Alligator mississippiensis: one gene and its partners. The protein of the gene in region 1 interacts with the protein of each later gene in a pairwise test. Links are inferred from orthologs where the notes say so. Each region holds a gene or a part of one and is shown on either strand. Other genes may lie near its edges.

Evidence for each region.
Region 2: the proteins of RBM17 (region 1) and PPP1R12C interact in binary tests that used the Homo sapiens proteins (3 or more experiments, as listed by UniProt). The two-hybrid records come from large-scale screens. The link is inferred for Alligator mississippiensis from reciprocal best matches to the Homo sapiens genes RBM17 and PPP1R12C.
Region 3: the proteins of RBM17 (region 1) and U2SURP interact in binary tests that used the Homo sapiens proteins (3 or more experiments, as listed by UniProt). The link is inferred for Alligator mississippiensis from reciprocal best matches to the Homo sapiens genes RBM17 and U2SURP.
Region 4: the proteins of RBM17 (region 1) and DHX15 interact in binary tests that used the Homo sapiens proteins (3 or more experiments, as listed by UniProt). The link is inferred for Alligator mississippiensis from reciprocal best matches to the Homo sapiens genes RBM17 and DHX15.

What each region holds. Positions count from the first base shown.
Region 1 is NC_081827.1:9,433,972-9,441,964, forward strand, and holds the start of RBM17 (splicing factor 45), read left to right. Parts: upstream 1-4,993; 5' UTR 4,994-5,076; intron 5,077-5,785; exon of another isoform or gene 5,786-6,019; intron 6,020-7,993. UniProt on the Homo sapiens protein: Splice factor that binds to the single-stranded 3'AG at the exon/intron border and promotes its utilization in the second catalytic step. Involved in the regulation of alternative splicing and the utilization of cryptic splice sites.
Region 2 is NC_081828.1:39,232,968-39,240,083, reverse strand, and holds the start of PPP1R12C (protein phosphatase 1 regulatory subunit 12C), read left to right. Parts: upstream 1-4,111; 5' UTR 4,112-4,126; coding exon 4,127-4,396; intron 4,397-7,116. Other genes in the region: TNNT1 (troponin T, slow skeletal muscle), read left to right, coding at 79-119, 1,044-1,089. UniProt on the Homo sapiens protein: Regulates myosin phosphatase activity.
Region 3 is NC_081830.1:56,731,737-56,739,351, forward strand, and holds the start of U2SURP (U2 snRNP-associated SURP motif-containing protein), read left to right. Parts: upstream 1-4,610; 5' UTR 4,611-4,662; coding exon 4,663-4,707; intron 4,708-7,615.
Region 4 is NC_081825.1:39,040,068-39,047,916, reverse strand, and holds the start of DHX15 (ATP-dependent RNA helicase DHX15), read left to right. Parts: upstream 1-4,836; 5' UTR 4,837-4,914; coding exon 4,915-4,985; intron 4,986-7,849.

The DNA of each region.
Region 1 (7,993 bases):
TGCATGGGGATTGTTCACAAAGGTTTTAAAAGCAAATAGCTGGACAAATACTTGCCTATGATGCTTTATATAGGGATGATCCTGCCTTGAGCACGGGATTAAACTAGATGACCTCCTGGGGTCCATTGGAGCTGTACTTTTTTATGATGCAATGCACTGAGTTATTGGAGCCTTCTCGGGCAGATCCAGAGGGGCTGCACCCCCACCCCCACTTTCTGACCATGGGGCAGGAGCAGCAGTTGGGGACTTCTTTAAGTCCTGAAGATCAGAATTGCCCCCTCCTTTCCCCTCCAAGCTGAGGTTGTACCCTCCCCTCCCATTTCCCCCTCCCCTGCCTGCTGCTGCCCCTGTCCTTGCTGTCCTGGGGGTGAGGAGAGCTCCGACCCAGCTCCAGTTGGGCCATGCTGGACTTGGGTTCAGTCTGGGAAAGTAATAGTGGTGGTGGCAGGTGGGCTCCCTCTCCCTGCCTGGTTCCCCTGGGTGTTCCCCACCAGTCTGGGAGCAGATGCAAGGAGGGGAAACTTCCCACTGCCACCACTGTCCCAGGCTGAGCCCAGACCCCATGCAGCCCAGCTGGAGGGAGACAGGAGCTCCCTTCACCCCCAGGATTGCATATACAGCAGCAGTGGCAGGTGTGGCAAGGGACATGCTCTGAGCAAAGAGTATGGTGGGGGGGAATGCTTAACTGTTTTGGGGGACTTAAAATGGTCCCTAATTGCCGATCTCATGGCACGGTCTGGTCTCACTGGTATTGGTGGGGAGGAGGCTGGGAGTAGGGGGTGCTGCTCCTGTGCCCCTTTTTCAACATCCTGCATCTGCTCCTGGAGCCTTCTGGGGGTAAGGAGACATTTTAAAGCAACGTGAGTGTTGCAGGTGATGATGGAGCCTCTGATATCCCTCCTGCTCCTGAGGCTGACATACCCATATCTAGTCTTTGGGTATAATCCTGGGGGCTGGACTCGGAGATCTTCCGAGATCCCTTCCAGCCCGAATGTCTATGAAATCTAATGTCTATGAAAGTACCCACGTCACATACTTGGTGGGTAGGAGATTTGCTTTGTTTTGTAGTAGCCAACAAGGGCTGTGTACTTCCCCCCAACCCTGACCATTCATCAGTTTTCAAGGTTTGAGTGGGGGGAAAAAAATTGAAACACAACAGCAGAGCAACTATGGAGGATATTGAGATAACCCCCCCACCCCAGACCCATGAAGACAATATCAGATCAGGCAGGCAGCCAGTTTGTTTCTCTATTTCACCTCTTCCCTGCTTTGAATATTGGCCGAGCCTTCCCCAGTTCTCAAAGTTTCATTGAGCCACATGATCTTCTGTAAAAGGCAACACGTTTTTGGTTTTTTTTTTAAACTGCTTCAGATGTTCAAGCAAATGCCGGTTTATGCTTTCAATTCCATACTGTGCAAACAGCAGTAAGAGTTCCCTTCTTGTCTCAGCAGGTCTTACAAAACGGTTGCAAAGCACCACAACATGTGGGGCCCGAAGAGAGAAGGGAGAACGATTCTCCCTTCTGTGGGATGCCCGCTTTTACATATACAGCAGGCAAAATATTAGGAGAAATCCTCTCAGATTTCAGCAGTCCCTAAATATTTTTAACAGCTCAGATTTGGTGGGAGGAGGGGTAAAAAAAAGTTAAGAGACTCTAAATGCAGCAAAATTCCCGATGGGAGATCGGGAATGAGAATCGGGAATGAGAATTAAAGTGAGAATTTTGTCTGAAAACTGCAGCTTTTGTATAATATCTGGCTGGGGACTTTTCAGATGCTGTAACATTATATTCCTGTTATATTTCCATACTGATGCTTTGAATAGGGGTAGCCCCTGGGAGCCCCAGTCCTGGGGCAGGACCTCATAGTGCTAAATTCTGTACGAACACATTAATAAAAGAGCTGTTGCATACCCAAAGACTAGATAGATAGGCAGAGAGAGCATTGGTATCACTCAAACAAGGGATAAACATGGAGTGTGCACAACTACAGTACTGTGCTCTGGGGCAAAAAGTTAGGCTGTTTGGTTTCAGGTCTTTTTTAAAGAGTTGAACTGAACAATCAGTTTATTAGTGAATGGATTGGATCAATGGTTTTCAACCTTTTTAGACTCAAAGCACCCCTTGTTAGACTCAAGGCACCCCTCGGAAAATGCCAGCTCTTAGTTTTCGCTAGTTTTTGACTACAGAAAAGCTGCTTTCAGTATTTTTCTATTGCAAAGAACTCAAAAAGACCACAGCAGATCTGAGTGTTTTCAAAACAATGGATCCCTATTTGAAATTTCTGAGCTTATCTTGTGAATTATGTTTGTATGCTAACAGTACTAAAACCGCATGGCACCTAGGGGCACCCTTGAAAGACTCTCGCGGTACCCTGGATAAGAATCACTGGATTGAGACTGTGGTGTGAGTTTTCAGACGGTGTGACACATTGTGAATGATTGCCCTCTTCGATCATTTAATGGCGATCTAAAATCAATCCGTGCAGCTACCCCTGAAACAGTCAAATGGCTATCAAATTTAGATATTAAACTATGAATGTTGTATGAACATTGCAATCCTAAAATGTCATGTGAAATAGAGAGATGGGATTAGATGGAAGACTCTATATCAGGGGTGGGCAATTATTTTGGGGGGAGGGCCGCTTACTGAGTTTTGGGAAGCCATCGAGGGCCGCATGACAGACAGCCAGGGGCAGGTAAATATTAATTTTCTAAATTTTTAGGGGCTCCGCGGGCCGGAGAGAATGGCCTGGTGGGCTGCATCTGGCCCATGGGCTGCATTGTGCCCTTCCCTGCTCTATATGCACAGTGCTCCTGCTTTTTCTTGAGAACTAGCAGCGGGGAGTTGGCTAGAAGAGGTGTTGTTGCATCTTGTTCTATGAACAAAAGAAATGAGCAAAAACCCAGGGCTCTTGTTTGGCACTAACATGCTCATGGAAAATCGTAACGCTTGGTTTTCTTTCTTTCTCTTGTCCTCCATTCATTATTTTGGTTTATTATTTATGTTTGTGATTAGCTAGGACCCTGCTCCCCCCCCCGCCTGCAGGTTGCTTCTCCTTTCCCCAGAGGGGTGGCTTCCAGATACCTTCCCCTATACAAGCATGGCTGGCAGGTACCTGAGCGATGCATCTTCTCCTTTTTTACCTTTAGCCCCTTCCCAATGCAATCCCTGCTTCCTGCTGAGAGCAGGGAGAAGGGCTGCGATGTCCGCAGAGGGGGTGACATGATTACACACATGCAACGGGCACAATCACAGGCTGGCTTTTCCTCTGTCTCCTTGGGGTGGGTGCACAAAGTACAGAGGAACTGGTGACTCAGGGGGCACAGAGATATCCACTCTTGCATTAACATGATACTGCCAAAGGTGCCAAGCTAGTTGCAACTATGAATTGGCGCTGGGAAAGGCAGGGTGCCTGCCCTGCGGTGCAGGTGAGGGAATGGTGCCTGTGAGCATCAGTGGGGCTCACTCGTTCACAGGGGGCAGCCCCGCTCTGTTCCCAATGCCTGGTGGGTTTGGCTCCATGTAAAGAACAGGGGATGTTACAACCCAGGGGCTGAGATGGTAGAGGGCTCTCTACCTCAGCTTTGCAAATCCACCTTTTCAGAGATTTGAATGTGCATTACCTTCAGTCCCGTCCCAATGCTAGTCTTGCTTCCTACGGGGAGCAGGGGGAAATACAGAATCAAAGAATCACAGAACATGAGGGTTGAAGGGACCTCAGGAGGTCACATCTAGTCCAACCGCCTGCTCAGAGCAGGACCAGCCCCAACTACATCATCCCAGCCAAAGCTCTGTCTAGCCAGGTCTTAAAAACCTCCTAGGACAGAGATCCCACCACCTCTCTGGAAAGCCTGTTCCAGTGCTTTACTGCCCTTCCAGGGAGATATGAGGAAAGACTTTCTAACCTCAACTTCCCTTGCTGCAAATTGAGCCCGTTGCTCCTTGTTCTGTCATCTGCCACTACAGTCCAGCTCCATCCTTTTTGCAGCCTCCCTGCAGGTAATCGAAGGATGCTATTAAATCACCTCTCCGTCTTCTATTCTGCAAACTAAATAAACCCAGCTCTCTCAGCCTTTCCTCGCAAGCCCCCTAACCATTTTGTTGTCCTCTACTGGACTCTCTCCAATTTGTCCACATCCTTTCTGTAGTGGGGGGGCCCAAAACTGGACCTAGTACTCCAGATGTGGCCTCCCCAGTGCTGCATAGAGGGGAAGAATCACTTCCCTTGACCTGCTGGCATCACTTCTACCAATGCAGCCCGGGATGCTGTTAGCTTTCTTGGCAACAAGGGCACGCTGCTGGCTCATATTCAGCTCGTTGTCCAGTCACCCCCAGGTCCTTTCTGCAGAGCTGCTGCCCAGCCCATCAACCCCAGCCTGCACTGGTGCGTGGGACTGCTCTGTCCTAAGTGCAGGACTTTGCACTTGTTCTTGTAGAGAAGGGCTCTGACACCTGCAAGGAGGGCCCTGCAGCCAGTTTTCGTTGGGGACCAGTTCAGGACCAAAATGCTCCCAAGCCTGAAACCCAGGCATGTGGGTGTCACCCAGGGAGGGCTGGGGGAAGTGAGCCCTACCTTTAGTGTGCAAAGGGTTTTCCAATTGCAATTAGAATGCAAATTAACATTCTAACGGCCATTAACATTCTAATTGTAATTAACCCCTGATTTCATCATTCCCACCAGCCTATGGCTGTGTCCACCCTACAGGGCTCCCCTGGGGCGCAGCGCGCAGTACCCCCTCCCTGCCACTAGGGGGCAGACGCCACCCCTCTGCGGATACTCTCTCTCCCGGAGCCGCGCTCTCTATGGTGATGTAACGACATTTCCGCCCCTCCTCTTCTCGCCTACGAAGTTTGCACAGCTCCTGCTTTACGAGGCCCAGCCTTGCGGCGTAACTCTCCCGCTACTTGCGCAGCTTGCTCCAACACCGCTCTGCCCTGCCACCAAGTCGGACGCAGTTTGCGTAGCTCCCCTCAGCCACGCCCCTTCCCGCCGTGCGCTGCGCCGTTTACGTAGGGGCGGGCGGGCGACTGCGCAGGCGCGGGGCTCGCGGCGCTTCGTTCATGGCGGCGGCGAGTGAGTGTCCTGGGCCCGGCCCGCGTCGCTAATCGAGGCCGAGGCTTTAGGCCGCACCAGGCCGGGGCTTCCCGCGCCGGGCTGGGAAGGGGGGAAGCAGTGGGGTCGGGTTGTGCGCGGCGGGACGGGGTGTCCGCCCGGGTTAAACGTGGGGGAGGGGCTCTCACGGCGGGGGCGGGGCCAGAGAAGGGGGGAGGGGCGCCCCCATTGTGGAGGAGGGGGTCCCATGGGGGGAGGGGCGTCCCGTGGAGGGTTCCATGGGGGGGAGGAGCGTCCTGCGTGGGGGGTTCCATGGGGGGGAGGGGCGTCCCGTGGGGGGGGTTCCATAGGGGGGAGGGGCGTCCTGCGTGGGGGGTTCCATGGGGGGGAGGGGCGTCCCGTGGGGGGGTTCCATGGGGGGGAAGGGGGGTTCCAGGGGGGGAGGGTGTCCCATTGTGGGGGCGCGGCTGTAGGGGGTTGTGCTGTGTGTGTGTGTGTGTGTGTGGGGGGGGGGGGGGGGAGGGCATTGTCGCCAGGCCTGCATTGGGCGGGGGCAGCGCAGGGTTGGGGGGACCGTGGAGACGAGCTGGTTGCAAGCAGGGAAGAAGCGGCTGGCTGGAGGCTGCGAGAGGAGAGGAGAGGCAGGAAGAGCTACCAGGACCGGTGTCATGTGGCCGTGCTGGGTCCCTCTGCAGGGATGCCCAGAAGAAACAGGGCCTGCACCTTTTCGGTTATGCGCTCCCCGTCTGCAGCCCCGCCGAGCCGCAGGACCTCCTGGTCAGCCTCCTCCTGGCCCTAGCCAAGCGGGACGTCTGTTTGACCAGGAAGGAGGCTCCAGCCAGGGAAGCCGTCGGGGACTGCCGGGCTCCTTTGCTGTCCTGGTTCAACTCGCGTCTGCAGGCAGAGTTTCATCGGGCAGCATCCGCTAGCCCCTTGGACTCGTTGGAGGGCCGGCGGCCCCTCGGTATGCATCCACTGATTCCTTGGGACAACTTATAATGAGAGCGGGGACAGGAGCGGGGGTCAGAGTTGGATAACGAGAGCACCAAGGATGGGGGACCCCGAGCAGAGCTCATCAGCCAGCGCCCACCGGCCCTCGAACATGTGTAAGGAGTCAGTAGATGCCATCTGGTGAAAATGCCCGCAGACGTGATTAGATAAGGGACAGGAGGATGGCCCCAGAGTCCCTGTTGAGACCCCCAGCTGGAGCCTCTTTCCTGGACAGGCCTATTTGACACGTTTTGTGGACATGGGCCTTAGGCCCACAAAGCAACAGTTAGTGCCCCTTGCTAATAGAGGGGGCTATTGGATACATGTCAGTTGATGACATGGGACAAAAAGCAAAGCAGGGATGGGAGTGAAGGTTGTAGGTTAAAAACGAGTGCACTGAGGGGGACGTGGGACAGTGCCTCGAATGAGTCCAAGGAGCCAGTGGTGAGTGGACCAGTGAAACTCTGCCCGGAGATGTGAATAGACGAGGGACAGGAAACCGGCTGCATGGTCCCTGGGGGGTCTCCCACCCAGATCCTCCTTCCTGATCAGATAGATCGCTAATTTGGCTAAGGGCAGGGGGAGGTTGACCATGAGGGTCCCGGGACTTAATGGGGCTGTGGATAGGGAGAGCATAAGTGAAACGATGCAGGAGTAGTGCAGCCAGAGCCTCAGCAGGAAGTCCTAGAGGGCGCTGCAGCCTGGCACTCTTCAGGCAGGCACGTACCAGGGTCTCCCTCTGATCGCAGAAGGGGCAGGAGCTGGGGGCATCCATAAACTGCACCAGATACATGCCCATAGCAATCGCTCTGTGGAGGAGCCAGTAGCTGAGGTCCCCTGGAGGGTCGTGGGATCAGGGTGGAATATAAGCTTGTCCACCAGGCCGGCAGATGTAGGAAGTTCTGATTAGTAATAGGAGGAGCCAGCTTTAAAATAGTTGTATATATATTTGTCTATATCTATCTTCTTCCCTTGCTTGTCCTGTCTAAACAGGTTGCTTTTGCAGATCCTGGCTCTCCACTGACTTCGGTCATACTTATTTTCTTCTTCCAACTCCTCTCACGTTCTTCTGCAGTATCTCTCTCTATCTCATCTTTGGCCTTCCTCTTCCCCTTCTCCCTGGTAGCACCATTCTGATAACTTTATTCCTACGTATTCTTCTGGACTCCTTTGAACATACCCGTACCATGCCAGTCTTCTCTCTTGTACTTTCTTAGATGCCTCCGCTACCTTCACCAATCCTCTGATGTAAGAATTCTTCACTTTATCCATCTCCGTCACTCCACCCATCCGTCTGCGCAGTCTCACCTCTGTCACATTTAGTCGCCTTTCTTGTGTTTTCTTCATGGGCTGTCTTCACTCCGTACAATAGTACTGGGCACATGGACGTCTTGTAGACTTTCCTCTTCAGCTCCACTGATAATCTCCTGTCACATAATAGTCTTGTCACCAATTTCCAGTTTGTCCACCCTGCTGTTACTCAGTGGTTCAACTCTTCATCTAACCCTGCTGACCGGTTGACCTCACATACTTGAACTTGTTAACTTTTCGAACATGTTTCTCATCGATTATCACATTTGCAACATCAGGTATCTCAGAGAAATCACAGTAAATGTATTCCGTTTTGGATCAACTCATCTTCATTCCTCTTCCCTCTTGTACTTCTTTCCATTGGTCCAAACCAGCTTGCATTTCCTCTAAACTCTTGGCGCAAATGACCATGTTGTCCACAAACATCATGTTCCACGGAGGTCTCCTTCTTATTTGTTCAGTAAACACATCCATCGTGACCGCAAATAGGAACGGACTCAAAGCTGACCCTTGATGAATGCCCATCTTCACCTCAAAACTCTGTCTCTCTCAAACTGCTCCTCACTTTCGTTGTACATTTGCAATATATGTCCTCAGTGGTTCTGACATATTTCTGCGGCATATCCTTAACTTTCAG
Region 2 (7,116 bases), on another chromosome or scaffold:
TGAGAAGGGACTGGCTCTGGGGATGGGGCAGGCTTGGTGAGGCAATCCCATGCATCTTGCATTCTTTCCCCCCCGCAGATAAATGTCCTGTACAACCGCATCAGCCACGCTCAGAAATTGTGAGTAGTTGCAATGTAGCTGTTTCCTCTCTATGGGAGAGTATAGAATCATAGAAAATGAGGGTTGGAAAGGACCTCAGTAGGTCATCTAGTCCAACCCCCTACTCAAAGCAGGACCGTCCCCAACTAGATCATCCCAGTGAAGGCTTTGTCTAGCCAGGTCTTAAAAAACTCCAAGGATGGAGAGTCCACAACCTCTCTGGGTAATCTGTTTCAGTGCTTTACTACCCTCCTAGTGGGAAAGTTCTTCCTAATATCTAACCTAAACTTCTCTTGCTGCAACTTGAGCCCATTGCTCCTTTTTCTGTCATCTGCTACCACTGAGAACAGTCCAGCTCCATCCTCTTTTGAACCCCCTTCAGGTAGATGAAAGCTACTATTAAATCCCCACTCAGTCTTCTCTTCTCCAGACTAAATAAACCCAGTTCCCTCAACCTCTCCTCATATACATGAATTCCCTCAGCCCCCTCACCATTTTTGTTGCCCTCCACTGGACTCTCTCCAATTTGTCCACATGCTTTCTGTAGTGGGGGCCACAAAACTGGACACAGTACTCCGGATGTGGCCTCAGCAGTGCTGAACAGAGGGGAAGAATCGCTTCTCTTGATCTCTTGGCTGCACTTCTCCTAATGCAGCCCAGTATGCTCACAACAAGGACACACTGTTGTGTGTGGGACCACCCAGGCCAGAGACCAACCACCTCCTCCATCCCCCAACCCTTTTTCCCCATGAGGGAAGGAGGAGATGGGCTGATACTGAGATGAGCTTGGTGAGGCCAGAGGGTTTTGACACCAAAACTGGCTTGCTCTGGGGAAGATGCTGAGATCAGCTGGGCCCAGGGTTGGGTTGGGGCAATGGTATGTTTGGGGGACAGGAATCTGGGGGCCTTGAGGTCTGTTCTAACCCTCCCCTTTCTCTCCATAGCAAAAAGGTGCCTGGCAAGGGCCGTTTCGGAGGCCGCTGGAAATAAACGCCAGGCCCTCAGGCAGATCGCCCCTGCCACCCTTCCCTCCTGCATCCACCCTCCTGTATCCAACCAGATGATCCCCACCTTGACTTCCACCCATCCTGGTTCCTGCTGGCATGGAGATTCTGCCCTGTGTGATCTGGAAAATCAGGAAACTGGTGTGAGCTGTGTCCTGTGTCCAACTACCTGGGCCATGTAATAAAACATATCCCTTGCCCTTGGCTCATGGATGGAGCCTCGATCTGGTTTGTGGAGCAAGGGAGGGAATTGTGTATGCATATTGAGAGGGGGAGGGGTGTGTGTGGCTTTACACAGAGCCCCCCCTAGGCAGATGGGCCCCTGACACTTAACTGTCTTCTAGATCACCCCCCCCCCCCAAATAATTCCCCTCCAAACCTCCCCTCTACCACAGGCATGGCTCCCCTGCTGTCCATCACACACACTTCTGCCCCCACACAGATTTAAGCTGCTTCCAGCTGCCTACCTCCAATTGCTCCCCTCCTCCCACCACACAGCAGGGCCTGTCCCCCTAAAATAAGCCCTACCCACTTGGGAGCTGACTGCAACTTGGTGGCAGATCTCTAGGCTTCAACAACAGGGTGGGAGGGATCAGGTGGGCTCCACTGCCACCCTTCCCTTAATACATGGAAGTCTGATGCTCTGTTAGGCAGTTCCTAGGATCACCAGTTGGAGGGTTGAAGGAAACAAAGGCTTGTGCTGTCCCCAGGGATTCAATAACTGCCACCAAAAGGCAGTGTCAGAGTAAAGGCAGCTCTTCACAGGTCAGCCTCACATGCCCTCTCTAGCCCACCAGGGCACTGGCACCGCAGTAACATACAGAGGGATCAGGACTTTGAATAAGCCCCTTGTTCAGATACACAGGGCTTGGCCCAGCTCGTTCAGCAATGGGCCCAGACTCCCTGTAGACTCAGGCAGGCACTGCATGTCCATCAGTCCCAGGGAGTGGGAGAGGAGTTTTGCTTTGTTTCCCATGAATGCTAAGATCTGGGGGCCAAGGCTGCTGGCAGTAGGAGATGCTGGAAGGTGACAGGGGAGAATACAGGCTATTGCCAGTGGGACAGGGACGGTGCACTAGGAATCAGCCTAAAGCAATGTGGAGCCACAAAGCTGCAGCCTACTAAGGTGCCCAAGGATGGGAGGTTTCCTAGACTCAGACTCCAGCTCAGGGGAGGCTAATTATTTCAGGCGGAGGGCTGCTTACTGAGTTTTGGAAAGCCATTGAGGGCCACATGACAGGCAGCCAGGGGCAGATAAATATTAATTTTCTAAATTTTTTAGGGGCCCTGCAGGCCAGACAGAATGGCCTGGTAAGCTGCATGTGGCCTGCAGGCTGCATTTTGCTCACCTCTGAGCCAGCTGGACTCTATTTCCCATGATAATTCTGGGGTGGGGGACTCCATTCTCATGATGCAGCAGGCCAGCACACACCATTCCCCAGGTTGCTTCTGGGTTGGGGGCTCTGCTCCCATGATACAATGGGACATCAGAGTGAGGGGGAGTGGCAGTGGGCAGGGCTCTGCTACCCTAAGGCCCCATGGCCAAATTGCCTGGGGACTCCATTTCCAGCATGCTTTGCAGAGGCCAGGGGCAGCTGGTGGGTGGGGGGAGAGGCAAACTCCATTTTCCAAGATGCCCCATGGGCAGGGTGAGAGAATCCATAAGTGCCATGCGTCTGCTGTGCACCCTCTCCTGTGATGCCCCAACAGGTGTGGGGTAAAGGGATTCCATTTCCCATAATGCCCCACAGCAGTGGGCAAGAAGGGACTCCCTTTCCCATGGTGTACTGCTGTGACTCACACCCGCTCAGTCTCTCATGATGCTCTGGGCAAGTCCCACCACACCCTGCAGTGGATGGATGAGGGGGGAGGGACTGTTTCGTACATTGCACGAGTGACTCCCCACGCCAATGATGCTCGGTACCTAGGCAAGGGACTCAATTTCCCAAGATACACTGCGTCACACCCCATCTCCCCCTGCCTCAGCATTACAGGGATAGGGAGGAGGGGGAAACTGCACTGCCCATGATGCCCTGCAGCAGGTGGGAAGAGACGAGAAAGGAAGAGAAGGGGACTCCCTTTCCCATGATGCACTGCGAAGGAGGAATTCATAACTATGGTTACCATATTTCCAGGTCCAAACATAGGGCAACTGGGGAGGGGGGTCTGATTGCTGGGGGGCGGGGGGCAATCCTCCCATCCCCCCGGGCTCTACCAATGCCCCTCCCTCCCGACTCACAGCCCCTGTCGCCCCCGTCCTGACCGCGCCGGAGCGCTGCAGCTGCGGCCGCTCCAATTCTTGCGGGCGGTACGAGGGAGGGGACGCCTGTGACATGGCAGCCCGGGCTCGGGCTCCCGAGCGGCGCGGCCCCCCCTGAGCAGCATCTCCCGGCTGCCCCGCCACGCTAACCCTAACCCCAACCCCCTGCCCTGCCGCGCCCCCCCACCGTTTCCTCCTTGACAGAGCAAAAACCCTCGTTTTTCCGCGGCGAACGGGAAACGCGGCTCCGCGGAGGGCCCTGGGAAATGCAGTCCCATCGGCAGAGCCCAGACCTCTGCTCCCAGAACCTGAACACAGTCCTGCCCCCCGGGCGGGGCGCTCTGGAGGGACCCCTCCTGCTGCTCCTGGCGCTTCTTCCTTCCCCAGCCTCAACCCCCACACCACGCCCAGCAACTACTCCACCTCCTCCCCAGAGCTGGCCCTCCCCACGGGGATCCCATTCTCACACCACTAGTGGCTCACATCTCCTCTCCCAGCATGCCCCGCGACGGCGGCTTTGTGCAATAGGGGACAAGGACTCCTGTCCCCATGACGCACTCCTTCCTCCCCGGCTCTTCTAGCATGCCCGGGCAGGGACTCACTTTCCCGTGACGCCCCGTGCCTCCCGGCATGCCCCACGGCTGCTTTTCCCGGCCTGCCCCGCGCCGGGGGCGGGCCCGCTCGTTTCCATGGCGCCCCGCCCCCCGCTTCCGGCGCCCCCGCTGGCTGCCGAGGCAGGAAGCCGGGCGGGGGCCGGGGGGCGATGGCGGCCGAGGCGGCAGCCGCGGCCCAGGCCCGGCGGCGCGAGCAGCTGCGGCAGTGGGAGGCGGCGGCGCCGGCCGGCCCCCCGCGCCCGCCCCGCGCCCGCGCCGTCCGCTTCGAGCGCGCCGCCGAGTTCCTGGCCGCCTGCGCCGCGGGGGAGCTGGCCGAGGCGGCCGCCATGCTACGGGGGGGGGCCGAGCCCCAGCCCGACGGCCCCGGGCCCGGGCTCATCGACGGCACCAACGCCGACGGCATCAGCGCCCTGCACCAGGTGCGCGGGCGGGGGGCAGTGGGATTGCTGCCTCCCAGGGAGAGGAACGCCTAGGGAGGGTGGTGGGGTCGTTGCTGGAGGGCAGGGGCAGGTCCTAGGGGCTGGAGTAAGTAGGGTTGGAGATGGGAGCATTGGAGGCAGTGAATGGGTGGGGGACTGTGGGATTTCTGCCCTGCAGGGAGAGGAAGGCCTGGGGAGGGGGGCCATTGCTGGGGGTGGGGGCAGTTCCTAGAGGAGCTGGGGGCAGGGGGGATGCTGGAGGCAGGGGGTGGGGGCAAGCTGGTGGTGGTGTGAGTAGTGGGATCCCCATGGTGAGGGCCAGCTCTGGGGAGGGGGTGGAGTAGTTGCTGAGTGGGGTGTGGTGGTTGAGGCTGGGGAAGGAAGAAGGGCCAGGAGCAGCAGGAGGGGGAGGAGGTCGTTGCTTTGGGGGTTGGGGTCATTGCTGGTGGGTAGGGTGGGAGGAGGGGGTAGTTACTAGAGGATCTGGGGACACTGGGGTGGGAGAAGCTGATGGTGTGAGCAGTGGGATCTTCCTGGTGAGGTCAAGCCATGTGGGGGTCATTGCTGGGAGGTTAGGAAGAGGACACAGTTACTAGGTGAGCGTGGGAGAGTGGGGGTAGGAGGAGGGGTCCTTGGGGTCAGGGTAAGGGGTGTTGGAGGCAGGAGGGGGTGGAAGTAACTGGCGGTGTCAGCACTAGGATTTTCTCTGTGAAATCAAGGCCTGGGGAGGGCAGTGGGGTAGCTGCCTGGGGGAGGAGGAGGAAGGTGCTAGGGGAGGAAGAAGGAGCTGTTGGGGCAGAAGGGTGATCGGGGGGGGGGCAGTACTGGGGCTAGGAGGAAGAGGCCATTGCTGGGGGTTGAAGGAAGGCCCCTTGGGGTAGGAAGAGGTTACAGTTATTAGGGGAGCTGAGAGCAGTTGGGGTAGGAAGAGGGGGTAGTGTGGGGGCAAAGTGGCTGCTGCTGTTAGCAGTGGGATCCCCTCTGGTGAGCTCAAGCTATGGGAAGGTGGGTGGGGTAGTTGCTGGGGGGAGTCCTTGGGGTTGGGGGTAGCATGGGGGAACAAGTGTTTGGTGCTTTTAGAAGTGGGATCCCCTCTGGTGAGCTCAGGCCCTGGAGAGGGGATTGGGATAGCTGCTGGGGAGGGAGGAGGTGAGGGGCAACAGAGGGAGGAGGAACGGGCAGTTTTGGGTGGGGGGGGTGGTAGGAAAAGAAGGGTTTGGGGGGAGCTGAGGGCTAGAGGGACAGTACTGGGGTATAGGAGGAGGAGGGGTGGTTGCAGAAGGGGTCCTTGAGGTTGTTGGGGGTGGGGAGCAAGTGACTGCTGTTGTGAATGGTGGCACCCCACTGCCAAGCTCAAGCCCTGAGGGGAGGGGGATGAGTAGTTGTAGGGAGCTGTTGGGGCAGGGAGTGAGGAGGAAGGGGTAGCCAGTTGAGGGGTGGGAAGCATAGGAGGAGGGAGTTGTTGGGGTCAGGGGTGTTGGGGCAGTGGGAGGGAACACCTGACTGCTGCTCCTTGGCAAGCGGAAGCCCTGGTTGTCTCTTGTCCTCTAATCCCTCCAGTTCGGGGGGTGCCAATTGTATCTAGGCAGAGGGGAACCTTGGGGGAGGGGTGGAGGGTAGAAAGAGCCCCCATGGGAAGGGTGCATCTGGGAAGCAAGGGGGTAGGGCTTGGCAGGGGCTTGTCATGCTGGTAGGGTCAGGAGCAAGGGGGTGAAGAGGCTAAGGTTAGGCAGTTGGGGACCAGAGGCAGGGATGGGGAGTGCCAGATGCTGGAGGGGAAGTATCCTCAGGAGCTGGGGGGGCGTGGAGCAGGAGTGGGGCACTTGGAAGGAGGGGTAGTTACAGAAGAGGGTGTGTGCTGTGGGTGGTGGGGTGGGAATAAGGAAGGGGAACTGGGTGCCAGGGGCAGGTGCAGATGGAGGGTGGGCAAGGAGGGCTGAGGGGGGTAACTAAGTGGCAGCAGATCTGGGGAGGGAGTCCTGGCGCTGAGGCTTCTGGCAAAGGAAACAGTATGGTGGGGGCAGGGAGGAGGGAAAGGCCTCCAGCTCAGACAGTGCTGCTACATCAAGGCAGCTGGAGCCATTATGCTCTGTATGGGCATGCCCAGCCCTGCACCCTGCCAAGGGGCATCAGCTCCCCCAGGGTCCGTGCTGCTCAATTCCCCACATCGCTAGGGCAGCCTTTGTTTCTGTTTGCCAGAGTCCACCCAGGTGGGACTGGGGGATCAGAGCAGCAGGGGTGGAAACCAGCCAGCAGGTCTGCCTACTGAGAGGATCAGGATGCCTGGGTTCAAAGCCCAGCTCTGAAAGCAGAGAGGAGTCCAGAGTCAGGGTAGGCAGCTCATGGAACTGGATGCATTCCTCTTCCAGAGCGGGGATAGAACCCAGGTGTCCTGGCTGCCAGCCTCCCCCATGCAAGGGAAATTTGTTGGAAACCAGAACCCATCAGTTACATGCCTAGCATGGCCTGTTAGGGGCAGCTTGTGGCAGGGACTTTCTTCTCTTCTGGGCACTGACCCCAGTCTGACCTCAGGGCTGGGGGCAGGCTTACTCAGGGGGTTAGGGAGTGGGACAGCTCCTCTTGTGTCAAGCAGTGGAGGGGGGGAGTGCCAGCGTCAGCTGGCTCCAGCTCAGTCCCGTCTCATGCTCATTTGCTGCTGCATAATGAGGTGGTCAGGTCTTGGTCTGTGGTGGGTGGGTGTGAGGGAGGGAAGTTGTCCC
Region 3 (7,615 bases), on another chromosome or scaffold:
TCAATTACCTACTGATTCATCCATACCCGCATTCACTCAGGGGACCAGCCCAATACAGCAATACAATTCCAGTTATTACAATTCCAGTGCATTCTTATAATAATAATTTTAGTAATACAAGGTATGACTTACTCTAAAGAATACATTTGTTAAAAGTTAAAAGGTAGAAAATATAAAATACAAAATGCCAGGGCAAAGATGAGACATGAAATATAAAAATGTACTGTGAGAAATATAGAAAAATGCAAGATGAGGTAGCGAGGATCAACGGCCACTGGGGTTAGATGCACTCATGCAGACTGATTTAGCATAAAACTTTAGACAGATATGGGAAGTTTGCTTTGGGAAATAGGTCTTAATCAAAGGAAAAATGTGTTTACCAGGATATATTTACAGTCATGCTTTCAGTGCACCTTGGCTTTTCTTGTCTCTTACAGGCTTTGCTTTGAAGTGGATATTTTAGTTCTTTTGTTTTCTTTAGTGACACAGCTCAACTGATACATAGATGTAGTCTGTAGGTTTCTCCTACAGAAAGCCACTTCAGCTTTCTGGCTTGCTCGGAGCCTTGCCACACCCATGCAATGAATGTGCTAGGTCTCTGCCAATACTTAGAAGGAAAAAGAAATGCACAAAAAGGGAAAGAGGGTGCAGGCAAGAAGGGGCTTCTGTTATATCAATGCCCAGAAGGGTAGTGTACAAAGGGGGCTCCCTGTTACAAGGCTTTTAATTTACTATCTGCAATTTTGCTGTCGTCTTATTTTCCAATCATAGAAAATATACCTGTTAATAATTTTACACAATTTGATATTTTAATAATAATTATCTATGGAAATGCCATTTGTTAACAGTTGACTTTTACTGGAGGTAGAGGAAAATCTTCATTTAATCCATATAAATGGAGGGAAAGGGCAAAAGTAATGCATGTGTATTAATTTGGGGTTGGAGAGGGACTGAGAAAGGAGGAGAATGGAGCAGAGAATACATTTGAAAGTCAATCTGAAAGGTTCTTTCAGGTCAGAAACATAGCAGCTTTTTTCTGGTTACAAGGTCACATGGGGATGATGCAAGTAACAGTCTCCAAAATGTAGTGGTAGAGAACCTATGGCAGTAGCTTCCAAAGGTTGCCTACCCTCTATACTGTTGACGTCAGTCTTCTCAAAATCTTGTCATCCTTGAACTTTGTCTGACTGCCCTCATCCATAATACAATGTTAACACCCATCACAGGCCATACCATAATTAACAATAAATCCTTTGGCATAACGGTCCTGGCAATACATTACAGGCTTCCCACCTCTGCCTTCAGGAAGGGGCACTACTTTTGGCTCACATTTAATTTTATCCTTACATATTAGAACACAGTATATCAAGAAAACACCTAATGATGATGATGATGTAAGTGTAACCATCTCTATTGACTTAAATAGGACTTAAAAATGTGATTCAGTTTTTTACTGAGCTGGGGTTTATATCATGAAGAGCAGTTAGTAACCGTCTAAACCCGTGGCTCCTCCTGCTGCAGCGGCTGGGGCCTTCGATGCCTGTATGGGGCGTTTGAACCTCGGCAGGCCCCGGCTGAGGAGGGGGGGAGCTTGTTGCTTCTCCCCCTGCCACACACACATCATGTTGGGGGTGCGGGATGTGTACGGGCTGCCTGGGGTCAGCCAGGCCCCGTGGAAGGGCTCCTGGAGATGAGGAGCTTCCTCTTCTAGCCGCAGATCTCGCCATGTCTTGGCTTGGCTGAGTGCTCGGTTTCTGCAGAGCCTTGTAGGGCCTCATTTAAAGATCTCTTTTTTTCCCCCCCAAACTTGTCGATTATGTGGCTGCAGCTCTCACCAGCACTGGGCTGGAAACTGCTCCTCGGTTTTGTGCTGCATTGTCACTCTGCTGTCTGTGATGGTTCTTTTCCCAGGGAAGCCTAACTTAAATGTTCTTTATTTCCATGAGAGAGAGAGAGACTGTTGTGGAGCCGCAAGGATTAGACCTAATTCTGTATGGAGGTGGCTGGGCAGTACCTCTCCCCATCTTCCAGATCTTCCAGGCTTATAGCTTATACCCAAAGGGTATGTGGCCAAGCAGGGGGTACAGGAGACTCGCCCTTGCTGGGTTATGCCTGCTTTCCCTGCCCCATCCAAGGAAAACACTTAAAAGGTAGCAGTGCTGCAGAAGTGGTCTGCCCAGCTCCCCTCGCAGCCTGGGGCCATGGGAGGAATGCGACGTGGGCACCTGTGGGGGCTTTCTATACCCAAAGGGTAATTAGCCTCCAGTGCAATGTGGAGTAGTAATCTGATATGTTGTCACTAGCACACCTCCTTCAGATGTTGGGCTATGTTCTTCATAAGGTGAAGATTTTTAGCAGCCTTTTTAGTCAACCCCAGAAAGATCCCCAGAGCAGTTATTTAAACTAGAGGTAATAAAGGCATTCATGCAATGTCTCTCCCTCACCTTCTTTGTTTATTCTGGGACTCTCTCATTTCCCTTTTGCTCAGTCCTCTCCTTTCTGTTTATTCTATCCTTTACAATCATCTCAATTTGCTTCCATTTTTCCTCCTACTTTTTGAACCCATATGGTCTTTTTTACCCACTCATGGCACCACCTACCTGATTTTCTTTCCACACTTTCCTATAGATTTCTCTCCTAAATCTCTTGTTGCATCTGGCTTTCAAAAAAGTACTTCCAGAATTCTCATGTCATGTTCCAGCCTCAGCTCAGTGTCCTACATCCATTCTGACAGCATTCTGACTCACTGGGGATCTCACCTCACAGTGCTATACGTATTATAGGCAGAAAGAGCTGCTAAGTGCCAGTTTCAGGAAACAGTACCCCGTCTCAAAGCAATTATGTCAAGCTAGTTTGGGGACCCACATGGAAACCAGCTCCCAGCACTGGAAACTAAATCAGGAAGGAATCTATCAGTTGGTAAAAGTCCTACAGTATAACTTACTGCCTTTCTTTAGTTTGTAACACCACTACCAGCACCAGAAGCCTATACTCCTGGGGCCTGATCCTCTAGTCTTGTATGCTAGTACCAAAATTATAGCATTACTCCTCCAATATATAAGTATATAAATATATAAAGCCTCATATCTGGGGACCCACAGTGATTCTAATGTATGATGTAGCCTGTGCTGAAAGGCCAACCAATAGATTCAGCAACTATTCAGATCCACTGGTCAGTATCTAATGTGTCCAGGGAGCATCCTGAGAGCTGCCACTGTAGATCATAGTTCTGCTGGGACTGTATTATTACTCTGTGGTCTACAATGATGTTTCAGTTCCTTGCAGTGATTTATACAAAGTTATTTTATTTGCAAGGTGCTTAGATTTGGTCCTTACTTGATGTAGTATATGGCATAAGTGTCACAAGGTGGAGATCTCAGTGGGGAAGCAGTCTCATATTACTGTCTATAGAGTCTTATACTGTCTATACTGTCTCATAATTCTTTGTTTGGGTGACAAAGAAAAAAATTGCCATCAATAATCCATCAGTATAGGATTCCTTTTGCCTCTGGTGCCAAATCAGCACCACAGCTGACTTTCCCTTCTAGGAGGCATGTTTTTGCCATAGAGGAACATCAGAATACTGATCTGGTAGCAGAGCTGTGGCCTCTCTGGATTTAACCCTCATGTAATTCTATAGCAAAAGAACTGTTCCAGAGCAGAACACTCTTAAATTAAGATTCAGCCTGGAGGTTTTATAAAGAAATTAAAAAGCTTTGAAATGAGACAGGCCAGGACTATAAAACAAAGCTGGAGCTAAGAATGGGAACAAGGCAGCTACGACAGCCTGACCTGCCTAGCTCTGTTGATGAAGCATTACAAAAAAACCCCATGGTTGAGATCTGACAGACTGCTTAAAAAAAAAAAATCCTTAAATTGCAGACCTGGGCATGTTGCCCAGGATCCCTGGCTTGGGATCCCTCATGGTTTGGGAGCAGAGATGCCCACAGAGCAGCTCAAAGGCCCCCCAGGTGCCCACGTCACATTCCTCCCGTGGCCCCGGGCTGGGAGGGGAGCTGGGCAGGCCGCTTCTGCAGCACTGCTGCCTTTTAAGTGTTTTCCTTGGATGTGACAGTCGCACCTGCTGTGGTAAACTAGATGTATGGTGCAGGGAAAGCAGGTGCTTAACCCCAGCCCTGGGGGGCAAGTCTCCTGTACCCGCTGCTGGGCCACATCTCTTGAGCCCTGGACCCTGCCAGCTGGGGGGGGAGGTGGGGAAACACGGGGACTCCCTCATGCACAGTGCCAGATGAACCCTTTTGCAGTCCCTGGGCAAACAAACTCATGGACCCTACTTAATACGGTATATGTATATTATTTATTTATATTATATTTATACTGTATAAATGTTTTTTTCCCACTCAATAATTATAATATGTAAAATGATCACAACTGGGCCGCTTCTTAGGGCCCTAGGCATGTGCCTAGTTTGCCTATGCGTTACCGCGGGGCTGCGAAAGGAGCAGCGCCCTACAGAACCGCAGAGCCTGCGGCCGCCGGGCGTGACAGGGCCGCAGCGCCGGCCCCGCCTCCCCGATCGCTAGCTCGGTCATCGGCTCGCCGCCCCTCCCCCCAGGCGGGAGGCTTCCTCGCTCTCCTCTTCAATCGGTGAAGTCGGCGCTCGATTCCGGCCGCCAGGGCTGGCCGAGGGAGAGAGCCAAGATGGCGGACAGGGCGCCAGGCGGTTCGCAGAAAGGCAGCGGGAAGGTGAGGCCGCCCTCAGGGGCGCGCACGCGGCACCGTCGCTCGGGGCCCGCGGCAGGGGGTGGGCCGGGCCGGGCCGGGCCGTGGTAGTGGCAAGTGCCGGCCGGAGCAAGCATGGCGCGGGGAGGCGGGTGCGCAGGCTGCGCGGCCTGCTCTGGCCCCCTTCCCCGGCCCTGCTGCTGCCGGGCGCGCCGGGGCCTACTGGAGGCCGGTGCCCGCGGCTCTTCCCGCTGCAGCGGCTGGGGCCTTCGATGCCCGTGTGGGGCGTTTGAACCTCGGCAGGCCCCGGCTGAGGAGGGGGGGGAGCTTGTCGCTTCTCCCCCCGCCACTCACGCGTCGTGCTGGGAGCGCGCGGCGCGCACGGGCTGCCCGGGGTTGGCCGGGCCCTGTGGAAGGGCTCTTGGAGACGAGGAGCCTCCTCTTCTAGCCGCAGATCTCGCCATGCCTTGGCTTGGCTGAGTGCTCGGTCTCTGCAGAGCCTTGTAGGGCTTCATTTAAAGATCTCTTCCCCCCCAAACTCGTCAATTATGTGTCTGCAGCTCTGGCCAGCACTGGGCTGGAAACTGCTCCTCGGTTTTGTGCTGCATTGTCACTCTGCTCTCTGTGATGGTTCTTTTCCCAGGGAAGCCTAACTTAAATGTTCTTTATTTCCATGAGAGAGAGAGACTGTTGTGGAGCCGCAAGGATTAGACCTAGTTCTGTATGGAGGTGGCTGGGCAGTACCTCTCCCCATCTTCCAGATCTTCCAGTCTTATGGTTCCAGGGGTCGTTTTTTTCCCTGGCTCCTTCAGTTAGCCCGAGTTGTACAGCAGTGTCTGCACAGATCCTGTTCCCCTGTGGTGCTCTGTTACATCTGCAGGGTTGATGCTGCAGCCTTTTCAGCTACAGCTCTAGGAATGCTTGGAGTTGATATTTTTGTGGTAGAAAGAACCACTATCTTATTGTAAATATTATGTCTTCAGCACTGCAAACACTTATGCAGGTTCTTAACTTGATTCATATATGGAGCCCCATTTCCCATTTTGGAAATATTTATACCTGCCTAGGGATAATTTTGTGACTGAGAGCTTTAAACCAGTAGTTACTTGAGATGAATATTCCTAATTTGGTTTCCTTTTTATACCTGGCTGAAGGCAAGCCTCAATTGTGCTGTATGTATGAGATTAGATAAGGATGATCAAGAGCATAGAGAAGTTTTGTTTTTTTTAATAAGCAAAGATTAAATGTGCTTGCACTTTTCAGCGTAGACAAAAGATGACTGAGTGGATATGATAAAGGTTCATAAAATAAAATGAGTGGCATGAAGGAAGTAAATAAGGATATATTCATGAGTGGATTGGGTGGGGGAAGGAGTACAGTCACATCCCCATTTGATTCCTGATCCACTGAAAGTTTAAAACAAACTGCCTGGTAGGGACAGCTGAATTTCTATTCAGGTAGAGTGAGAGAGTCTATAGATTTCATAGCTTATTATTATCTACTTGATTTCTGCCAATCTTTAGTCCCTTGACCCATTTAGTATCCACAGTGTACGGCAGGGGTGGGAAAATGTGGCCCACCTGGCCATTCTATCTGGACCGAGGGGGCCCCTGAAAAAATTAGAAAATTAATATTTATCTGCCCCTGGCTGCCTGTCATACAGCCCTTGGTGGTTTGCCAATACTCAGTAAGCGGCCGTCCGCCTGAAATAATTGCCCACTCCCTGGTGTAGGGTATACTGTATTCATAGGAGCAGTGAGGGGATTGAGTAGCATAGGCCTCTGTGGGGCATGAGGGGGGATTGTGGGATCTGATGGTTTTGGGGTTTGATAGGATGGGGCTGAATATGGAAATATGTGGGATAATGGGGGACAGAGTAGAGGCAGGGGGAATTTGAGGTGGCAGGTGGAGCATATAAAGGGCAGTGTGGGACACTTTGGGGCCATGGTGGAGTGTCTGGGGGACTTGTGTAGGAGTACAGGGAGGAGTTCCATTTGATCAGAGTGTAACAGGTATACCTACTACCCAGCACCAGATGCCTGCCCAATTTGGATCTGGTAGTCAGCCCCTCAGTGATTCAGTTGCATTTGTTTTTACTTGGAAATTGGAAAAAAATATATGCTGTTTTATGGGATGATGTACCATATCACTTGCACTCTCCCTGCCCCCCCCCCCCCCCTTCAAAATCTGAGATCCACCCACGGATGTATTATTTATAGAGGTGCACCAATACATCGATCCCGTATTGGATCAGCACTGATATAAAGAAAATTGAGTGTATCGGAAATTGGCCTGATGAGGCCAATAATTTGGCTGATAAATGCCCATACATGCATGTAGCCACAGCGCAGCCTGGCAGCATGGAGAGCTGTGTGCAGCTGTTAAGTCTGTTGTGGTGCAAGGGGAGGGGAGGGAAGGGGCATAGGGGTGCAGATCAGTGGCCCCTGCAGTGAGGGAGGGAGTGGGGCTGGGGCAAGTGCTGCAGTGTGGGTGTGGGACGGAGCTGCGGCTCGTCCGGGGCTTGAGTGGGGGGGGGTGGCTCCTGTCATTGCGTGCACCCCAGGAGGGTGGGGGGGAGTGCGTGCCCCCAGATCTGCATGGGGTGTGGGTGGGTTGGGCTGCAGCTGCAGGCTGGGGCCAGGACTGCACTGGGTTCTTCCCTTTGAGGAGGGGTGGGGGTTGGACCAGGGTTGTGCTTGGGGTGGGTGGTGGTGGCACTGGGAGGGTGCTGTGGTGAATTTTGGGAGGGATACAGCCCCCGCATAATGCTCTTCCCAGCGCTGCTGCTGCTTCCTGCCCCAAATGCAGCCCTGGCCCCAGCCTGAAGCTGCAGCCCACCCCGCCTGTGCAGATCTGAGGGCACATGCCCCTCCTGTCCACTCCCAGGGTGTGCACAGCGGTGGGAGCCACTCCTCTCTGCGCCGTCCGGATG
Region 4 (7,849 bases), on another chromosome or scaffold:
TGGCATTAAGCAAGCCTGATTCTACCCATAAATTCCTATAAAAGTTCACAGGACAACATGTAAATTTAGTAGGGTGGTTTTATAGTGATAATACTTTTCACTTATGTGGTATTTTATATCTAAGGCTCTCAAAGTACTTGACAAATACTTATTTTTACAAGGTCTTTGAGAGGTAGGTGGGAGTAAGCCCTTTTTTCCAGGTAAAGAGATTTAAAGATATTGGGCAAGTTGCTGCCAAAATTTGGAAGCAGGAGTTCATGCTTAGTTTCTAGTATAATGGAATCAATGGCAAAGTCTGCCCTGTATGGTTGTATTGTTGAATTGCTCTTCAGAAAGTGAAAATACTTTCTTTTTAAAATACAGTTTTGACTTTTCTTGCTAATAAACTTAACCACTTTTGGAGTTTTCTTGTGCACAAATTAGAAGGTACTTGCTTCACAGCTTGCAAGAAGAGGAGGTTAGACTAGAGCTTTGTGGTCAACTATTGTAACTTTTTCTGCTGCTCCTTGTCAGGCCTGCATAGTATCTAGTGAACCCAAGAGCTTGACTGAGATGGATCTGGCTATGTTTGAAATGTAATCTACCTAAGAGAGAGGTGCTATCAGTTGGCTGGTTACATAGCTTCTTTCCCCATTACTGAGAAATGTATTCTCATGATGTATGCTGCTGAGGAGTCCTTCTTGACCTGTATTTGCTTCTGGTGTTCTGGGTGGTGTTGATAGCAAGGACTGAATTTTCCCACAGCAATTGCTATCTGCCCCCCCCCCCCCCCCCAAATGTAAAACATTGACAATATCATCCAGGCTTTCTGATCTCTAGGTTAAATTGCAATGATGAACAGTATATGGAGTTATCTTTTGAAGATGACTCACAAGCCTTCGGTTGTGCCCAAGCTGCAGTGCTTGGTAAAACGGACTGTAGGGAGCACATGACATCTTTGCTTTAAACAGTAGGCTGGTTTCCTATTTATTTCCTGGAACAATTCAAAGTGTTAAGTATTCTTATTGGTAAAGTTTGACAATTTAGTTGCTGTAAATACATACAAGAAACTGCTGCTCTCGTCGCTGCACTTGTTGACATCAGTCGATTCGCTTTTTTGCTAATATATTTGAACGTGTGGGTTTGTTGTCATATTCTTGATAGAGGTGCTTGCCTCTGAAAGTAATTTCCTCTGTTGATATGACAATCCTGTAGGGATTTTGTGTAGGGTCCACTTATTCAGTTAGAGCTAGATCCAAGAAAGGAATTGCATATAGCAGCCCTGATTGTTAAGGTGCTGAGCATAGAATGGAATCCAGAACCCAGTGTTAGGAATGTTGGTTCCCTATACAGTATAATGGAAGACTAGGGCTGGTCTGGAATAGGTCTTGTGGGAGACATGGTTGAATATTCATTCTCCACCTGAGTCCAATGACCAGCTCCTGATCTGGAAGTCTGCCAGTGATGCTGCACTGGGCTAGTCCCCGGTACAAGGTGTTAGATCTGCTAGAGACAGAAGGCTTAAGAGCAGGCTCTGATTATGTCAGCTTTGTGGACAGACAAGCTTTGGGGCATCTCTGTAGACCCGAGTGGTTGGTTGGATGTGCTCAGTCCTGCCCTCCCTAAGGCCTGCTACAGATACAGTACAGACAAACCCCAAGGCATTTCCAAATGACAATCTCTTAGTGGCCTCCCAAACATTTCATTCCTCTGCATGGTGGCCCAGCTTCAACAAGGTAGGTGGAGAAGGTTTCCACCCAGCCTAGCTGATACAGAGAGAAATAACTAGCTAGTTCTACACCCTGGGCCATGGTACCATGTGGTGAAGGGCAGCAGCCAGAAGTTTGCTGGGAGGGGGGGAGGCAAAAGGGGCAAGTTAACCACCTCTGATGCTTCCCTTTCTCTCCTGCAGCACCCTGTTTCTGCTGGCTACTTACTGCCTTTGTACCATATCCTATCAACCCCATTGCTGCTGCTCTGCCCCCTTGCTGTTGGAACCAGAGCAACTGCATATGAGGGGATGATGAGTACTGTACCCCCCAGCTCCATTCCAGTGTTCCCCCCTCCTGACTCCTTTTAGGCACTGCCCTTGGCTAGTGCCCCATGTTACCCTACTGCTGATATCTGGTCATTGAAGTGATCTGTTTGGAGATGGGAAAAGTGAGTCTGATCACCCTCAGGCTGAAGAAAGATTTGAACTTACTCTTTTACTTCCTGGGTAAATGCTCTGCTATGCTATCATATAAAATGTTGGTATTTTTTTCCTTCTCATGCCATGTTTTAAAAATAAAGTACTCAACTGCATTTGGTGAAGGAGGTTGGTTTGCTTGGTATGCATTGCCTGTGCTCTGAGTATGGCCTAGCAGATTGGGACCTTCCAGGCATGTAGGCATCCAGCTCCTATATTCTGATCAGGGGAAGGCAAGTGTAAGTGGTGTTTTGCTCAGATTGGATCTGTGCCCATGCTCAGAGGCATAATTTTAAGCGCTTACAGGACTTTCCAATTAAATAGGGAGGTGCCTAGTAAGGTAAGCAGCCACCAAGTGGGGTTGTTTTGGGTTTAAGCATCTTGGTCCTTCTTTGGATCTATTTCTTAGACTTCACTCTCGCAAATTAGCATATTTTAAATAAACAATAAGACATTTGTATCCAATACCAGGGGAGCCAGGGTGCTTAAAGTAATATAATCACACAGATTCAGCCTGCAGTTCTACATCAACTTGATACAAATCTCTTACAGATGGTTTATTGTGGGAACTTTAGTCTCCAGAGCTGCATTTCAGAACTGAAGTAACAGTTTAAACCAAACTTTCAGGGCTTTTTTGATGGTTATAAACGTTTTAATAGTTTTAAATGTAAAGAGTTTTGGTTTGGGTTAAGCATTTTCTTGCCATGGAAACAACCCACTATAGCACTTCATTGTCCTTGTGTTAATTTGAAACTTGCTAGAAATTTATTGAAAGGGTTATGAAGCTGACTAATCAATCTTTGATTAGGATGAAAAATGGCTTTATTTTGGGTATGACTCTATTCTTAAAAAAAAAAAAGAGAGAATAAAGTGAAATGGAAAAACTGAAGTTTAAGTCATTTTAAAGTGTGTGCATATATAGATGCATGTAGGTCAAAGTATTTTTAATTTTTTTTTTTTTTTATCAGCTTCCTTTGGAAGATGAGGATGCATAGAATATGCTCAGTTTTGGGCATATCTGCTGCATCATTTGTGCTTCTGGTCAGTAGTAGCATCTTACCAATAGTCTCATTGTTACCTGGTCCTCCCTATCTTTCTGCCTGGTTACTGTCTCAAGTCTTGTATTTAGGCCTGATCCTGTGAAAAATTGCATGTGTTTAATTACTTCAATGTTTTCAGGCAGATAAGGTTCTGAAGGCTTCATGGTTTAAAGAATTTCAGGATGAAGACTTCAGATTGTAAACTGTTTGGGCTAAAGCGGTATGCTTATTATTAGGAATCTACACAAATACAAGGGAGTAGGGACCTTTATGTACTACCACAGTGTAACTAATGCAGCGCAAGTAATAAATAATGCTAATATGGCCTTTGGTTGGTTAGTTAAAATTTAGAATTATGTCACATCCACGTAAAGCCAAGATCCAATGACCCCAGAAATAGATATCCCAGTGTTGTCTGTAAGCTTGAAAGTTTGCTAGACAATAACTCTTAATAGAAACTCAGAATCTTGAGCGTCTAAATTCAAGCCCATAGGTTAGTAAAAAGTGTTCCAAGTGGGGGAGCCGAGCAGAGCAGTGACCAGCACCCCCCGGGACAGTGTTACTTACAGTATTTTATTTAATTTGATATCTTCAAATACAAATAATTTTCTATTACAGTTATGCTTAAGACCCCTGAGTCCCCCCTAGTTCATAGTGGAAGACAATCCCAGGCCTGAAGAACTTCTTGAAAAGATATCTCTATAGGGTGTTATTTATCAGTTCCAGACAGGCATAACTCCCCTTATTCAGCAATATGACCGTCCCCATGGGGAGTCATGCCAACGTAACAGTGGCTTTAGTCTGTCTCTTGGGCCATGCTAATACAGGATTTGCCCTGGTGGCTTGGAGGCACAGTCTTTTGCCAACACAGCTGCACTGGCAAAAGCCCAAAGCCCCCAGTTACACTGCAAAGCTGTCTTTCTCAGTACAGATGCTCCACAGCTGGGAGGTGGGTGCCGTCTGGTGCAGCACACCCCGCAGCTTCGCTGTCAGGGCTGTGCCTAGCCCGGGGGCGCTCTGCAGGCCTTCCTGGCTCCCTAGGCGCTTTGCAGTCCGCGTGACCTACGCTTGCAGCGACACCGCCTTCTCACCGCTCGGAGGGACACGGGCGGAGTCAGGGACTGGGCCCTGCCCAGTGGGGCCCTGGGACCCGAGCCCAGGCGCCCTGCGGGGCTTTGCTGTGTGTTGCAGGGCCCGTGTTCTCCTGGGGGTGCCGGGCTCTGCTCCGTGCCCCCTTTGAGACCCTGCTTAGGAGCCGAGGAGCATCACCCGCTTCCCTGGGCTCTTCCACGGGCTGCCCTAGGAGAGTGCAGAGGCCTCGGCCCAGGGACAAGCAGGTCGGGCCTGCGCTGCACGTGCCGTCCATGCGGCTTGACCCCCACCTCCCTCTGGGGCACGGGCGGGCAGCTGCAGCCGAGGCCCAGTCCTGGCGGCCCTCAAGGAGCCGGGCCATGCTCCGGGCCCGCCCGCTCTCCCTCGGCCCCGGCGAGTGGCGGGGCGGGCGGAACCCGCGCGGCGGGGCCGAGTTCCCGGCCGGCGCCAGCTCTGCGCACCGTCCCCCCCGCGCGCGCCGCCAGCTCCAGTGTCTCGCGCCGCCCGGGCGCTTCCTTCCGGCCGCCATTTTAGTCGCTGTTTCTGGCCTCGCGGCGCGGCTGCTGCTGCTGCTGCTGCCGCCGCCGCCGCCGCCTGAGGAGCGGAGCCGCCGCCATGTCCAAGCGCCACCGCCTAGACCTGGGGGACGACTACAGTTCCAGCAAGAAGCGCGCCGCCTCCGACGGGTGAGGGCAGCGGTGCCGCGGCGTGTGGGGACCCGGCCTCACGCCTGATCCGCCCGGGCCCGGAGCCGCGCGGCGCCTCCTCCCGGCTCTGCGGCTTCGCCCGCGCTCCGCGGGGGGGAGGGGGCGGCGCTCCCCCCCGCTCTGCCCGGCTGGCGGCAGATCCCCCTCGCGCTGCCTTGGGTGGTCGCTGCGCCTGTGTCGGCGGGAGCAGCCGGCCGGGCCCCGGGCCAGCGCTGAGGGGGAAACGGGGGCTCGGCCTCGGCTGCCCCGGGCCCAGCGACGCGACGGGCTTCGCCGCACTTTCCGGGCCGCAGCGGGCGACCGCCTCCTTGCCGCGGGTCGGGCCGGGTCGCTCTTGCCTCAGGAGAGGAGTGGAAACGCTTCCCTGCGCCCTTGGCGGCCTCCTCGTGCCCTGCTCGGGCTCGGCCGCTTGCTCTTGTTGTGTGGCCCCGAGCCCCAGTGCGCTTCTCGTCTCCTCCAGTATGGGGCATTTGGGACCTCCCTGAATTCACTCCATTCACTCAAAGTTGGTGCCTGAACTAAGGCACCTCTAGAGAAATAGCCAGTCGCTATCCTTGACAGTGTCTAGTTATGGGAAATGCAGCCCAGGCTGGTTCTCCGAGATAAATGGGGTTGTGGTGGTGTTGCTGCATTTAAAAAGGGAGGTGTGGGGGAGGGACACAGCATTTCTCAGATGAATCCGCTCAGCTTCCATGGCTTGGCGATGCCTCTCTGCTAGAGCGAAGAGCCCTGTTACCAAGTTCCTGGTTTCCATGCGTAAGTATTTCTAGACCCTAACCAGTTGCACCTTGAAACTTCCGTTTGTTCAACTGAACAGATTGGGTTCCTTCACTTAATTGTCATAAGGCATGTTTTCTGACGCTTTCCCCAAAACGTCCTCTCTTTCAACATTCTTACTGACTTGTAGTACTGGCGCTCAATGGAAAGGTAATCTAATTTGTCTTCTCCACAGTACTCCTTGCCTAGACATCCCAAGTGATCATAGTAACCCCCTCTAGTACTAGGAGTTCATATTCGTGGGGTTGTCCCACTGTGATTCCTAAGTCTTGTTGAGAGTCTCTGCTTTCTTATATAATCTCTTATCTTGAGGTATATCCTAAATCCTGGTTTTCTAGATGTCACCTTAAGTGTGGCAGTGTTAGAATGTGGATTGTTTGCCTGAATCCAGCTTATAAAAAGATCCAAAATGTTCTGAATCGGTGTCCTGTTTTCTTCATTATTTATCACTCCTTTGATCTCTGTCATCCACAAACTCTGCCTCTGGTAACTTTTTTTCTTTCAGATCACTGGTCGAAAATAGCCTAGAATAAATCGCTTAGCAAGTCCACCAGGAATGCATCTGCTTGAGAATTCTCAGTTATGATTACATTTTGGCACCTAGCAATTTTTTTAGTCAATGTAATGTGTGTTTGATTTAATTTTATTTTGTAGTAAATGTTAGTAGTACCAACTCAAGTATCTTATAGAAGTCTAAAGGCTTTTCTGCATGAGCACTCTTTTGCACCAACTTTCTGTATGCCACTTGCATTACATGAAAGTGGACACTGGTACCCAGTTGATCATCTTCAAAAGTAGAGTTAGTTACACTGCAAATAGGATTATCATGTTTTACAAGGGTTTACACAGGCAGTGGCATGGAACAGCTAGTGCAGTTTACAGTCACACTGGAGCTTATTTTGCAATACCTTTCTTGGGTGGACAAATCCCTGGTGTATTACATCAGCACTTTTGCATTTATTAGCCAAACTTGTCAGGTAAAAAATGATAGTGTTGTCCTTTTTTAATTCTCATTTGTAATTTGGGTTGTGTATTGGCTGTTCTATTTATTTTACTTGAGTTTGATGTCGGGTTGGCAGGTTTAAAATTGCCTTGATCATCTTTATGTATGTATGTATGTATATGTCTCTTGGAGCTTCCTAGGGTGTGCCAGTTCTGCTGGGACCAAGCCCGAGGTTCCAGGCTAGAAGGTCTAGCCCCTCCGCTCATGGTCTAACTGACTGTCATATTTGGGGTCAGTAAGGAATTTTACCTGATGGTCAGATTGGTATGGACTACAGGGTTTTTTGCCTTCTTCTGTAACAGGGCCATGACCCTCTACCCCAGGATCTGTTGTGCATATGTTGACAGCATTTCACAGAAACAGGACATTGGCTTCCATGGTTCCCCTGCTTTACCTGTGGCAGGTTAGGATGTTAGATCTGTGTTGTTGCATTGGGGTTGACAGTAATCTTATGTAGAGTTTAGATTATGGATTGTGTGAGATGGTTTGGGTAGGGATGGACTAGATGGCCTCTGGATGTCCCTCCTGGCCCTGCTTCTCTATGATTCCTCAGTGTTTCAAGCCATATTGAAAACAACATTAGGGGCCCACAGAGTCCTTTGGACATCTTACTTGGGTGCACATTGCCTGGTGACCTGTATCTATTAATTTCAAATGTCTCACTTCAGTAGCTGCTGTTTGTTGTCATCCAAAGTAATTGCTGCAGTGGAAAGTGTTTCATCATCTGATTTAATACCAGTTTACGTTTTTGCATTATCATTCACTTCACTACCATGTCTAATTATGAATAAAGAGGTAGTTAGCCATGTTAGTTTAAAGTCAGGTAAAAGGCAGCCCAGGATGACATCTGCCTTTTGCATGAGTACTTTAATCATAATGGGCCATTATTAGATTACTCTTGTTCTTGGTGTACTTAAACTTTTTAAATAGCTTTAACTTTGGTGTTTGGTCATTGGATTTCCTTGTGTCTTTGCTTGGATTTTTTGTGTGCATGTTGGAGGTTTTGCTTTTTGTTTCTTTTATGTGCTTCCCAAGTTCTAGTTTATTCTTTTTTCTCTATTTC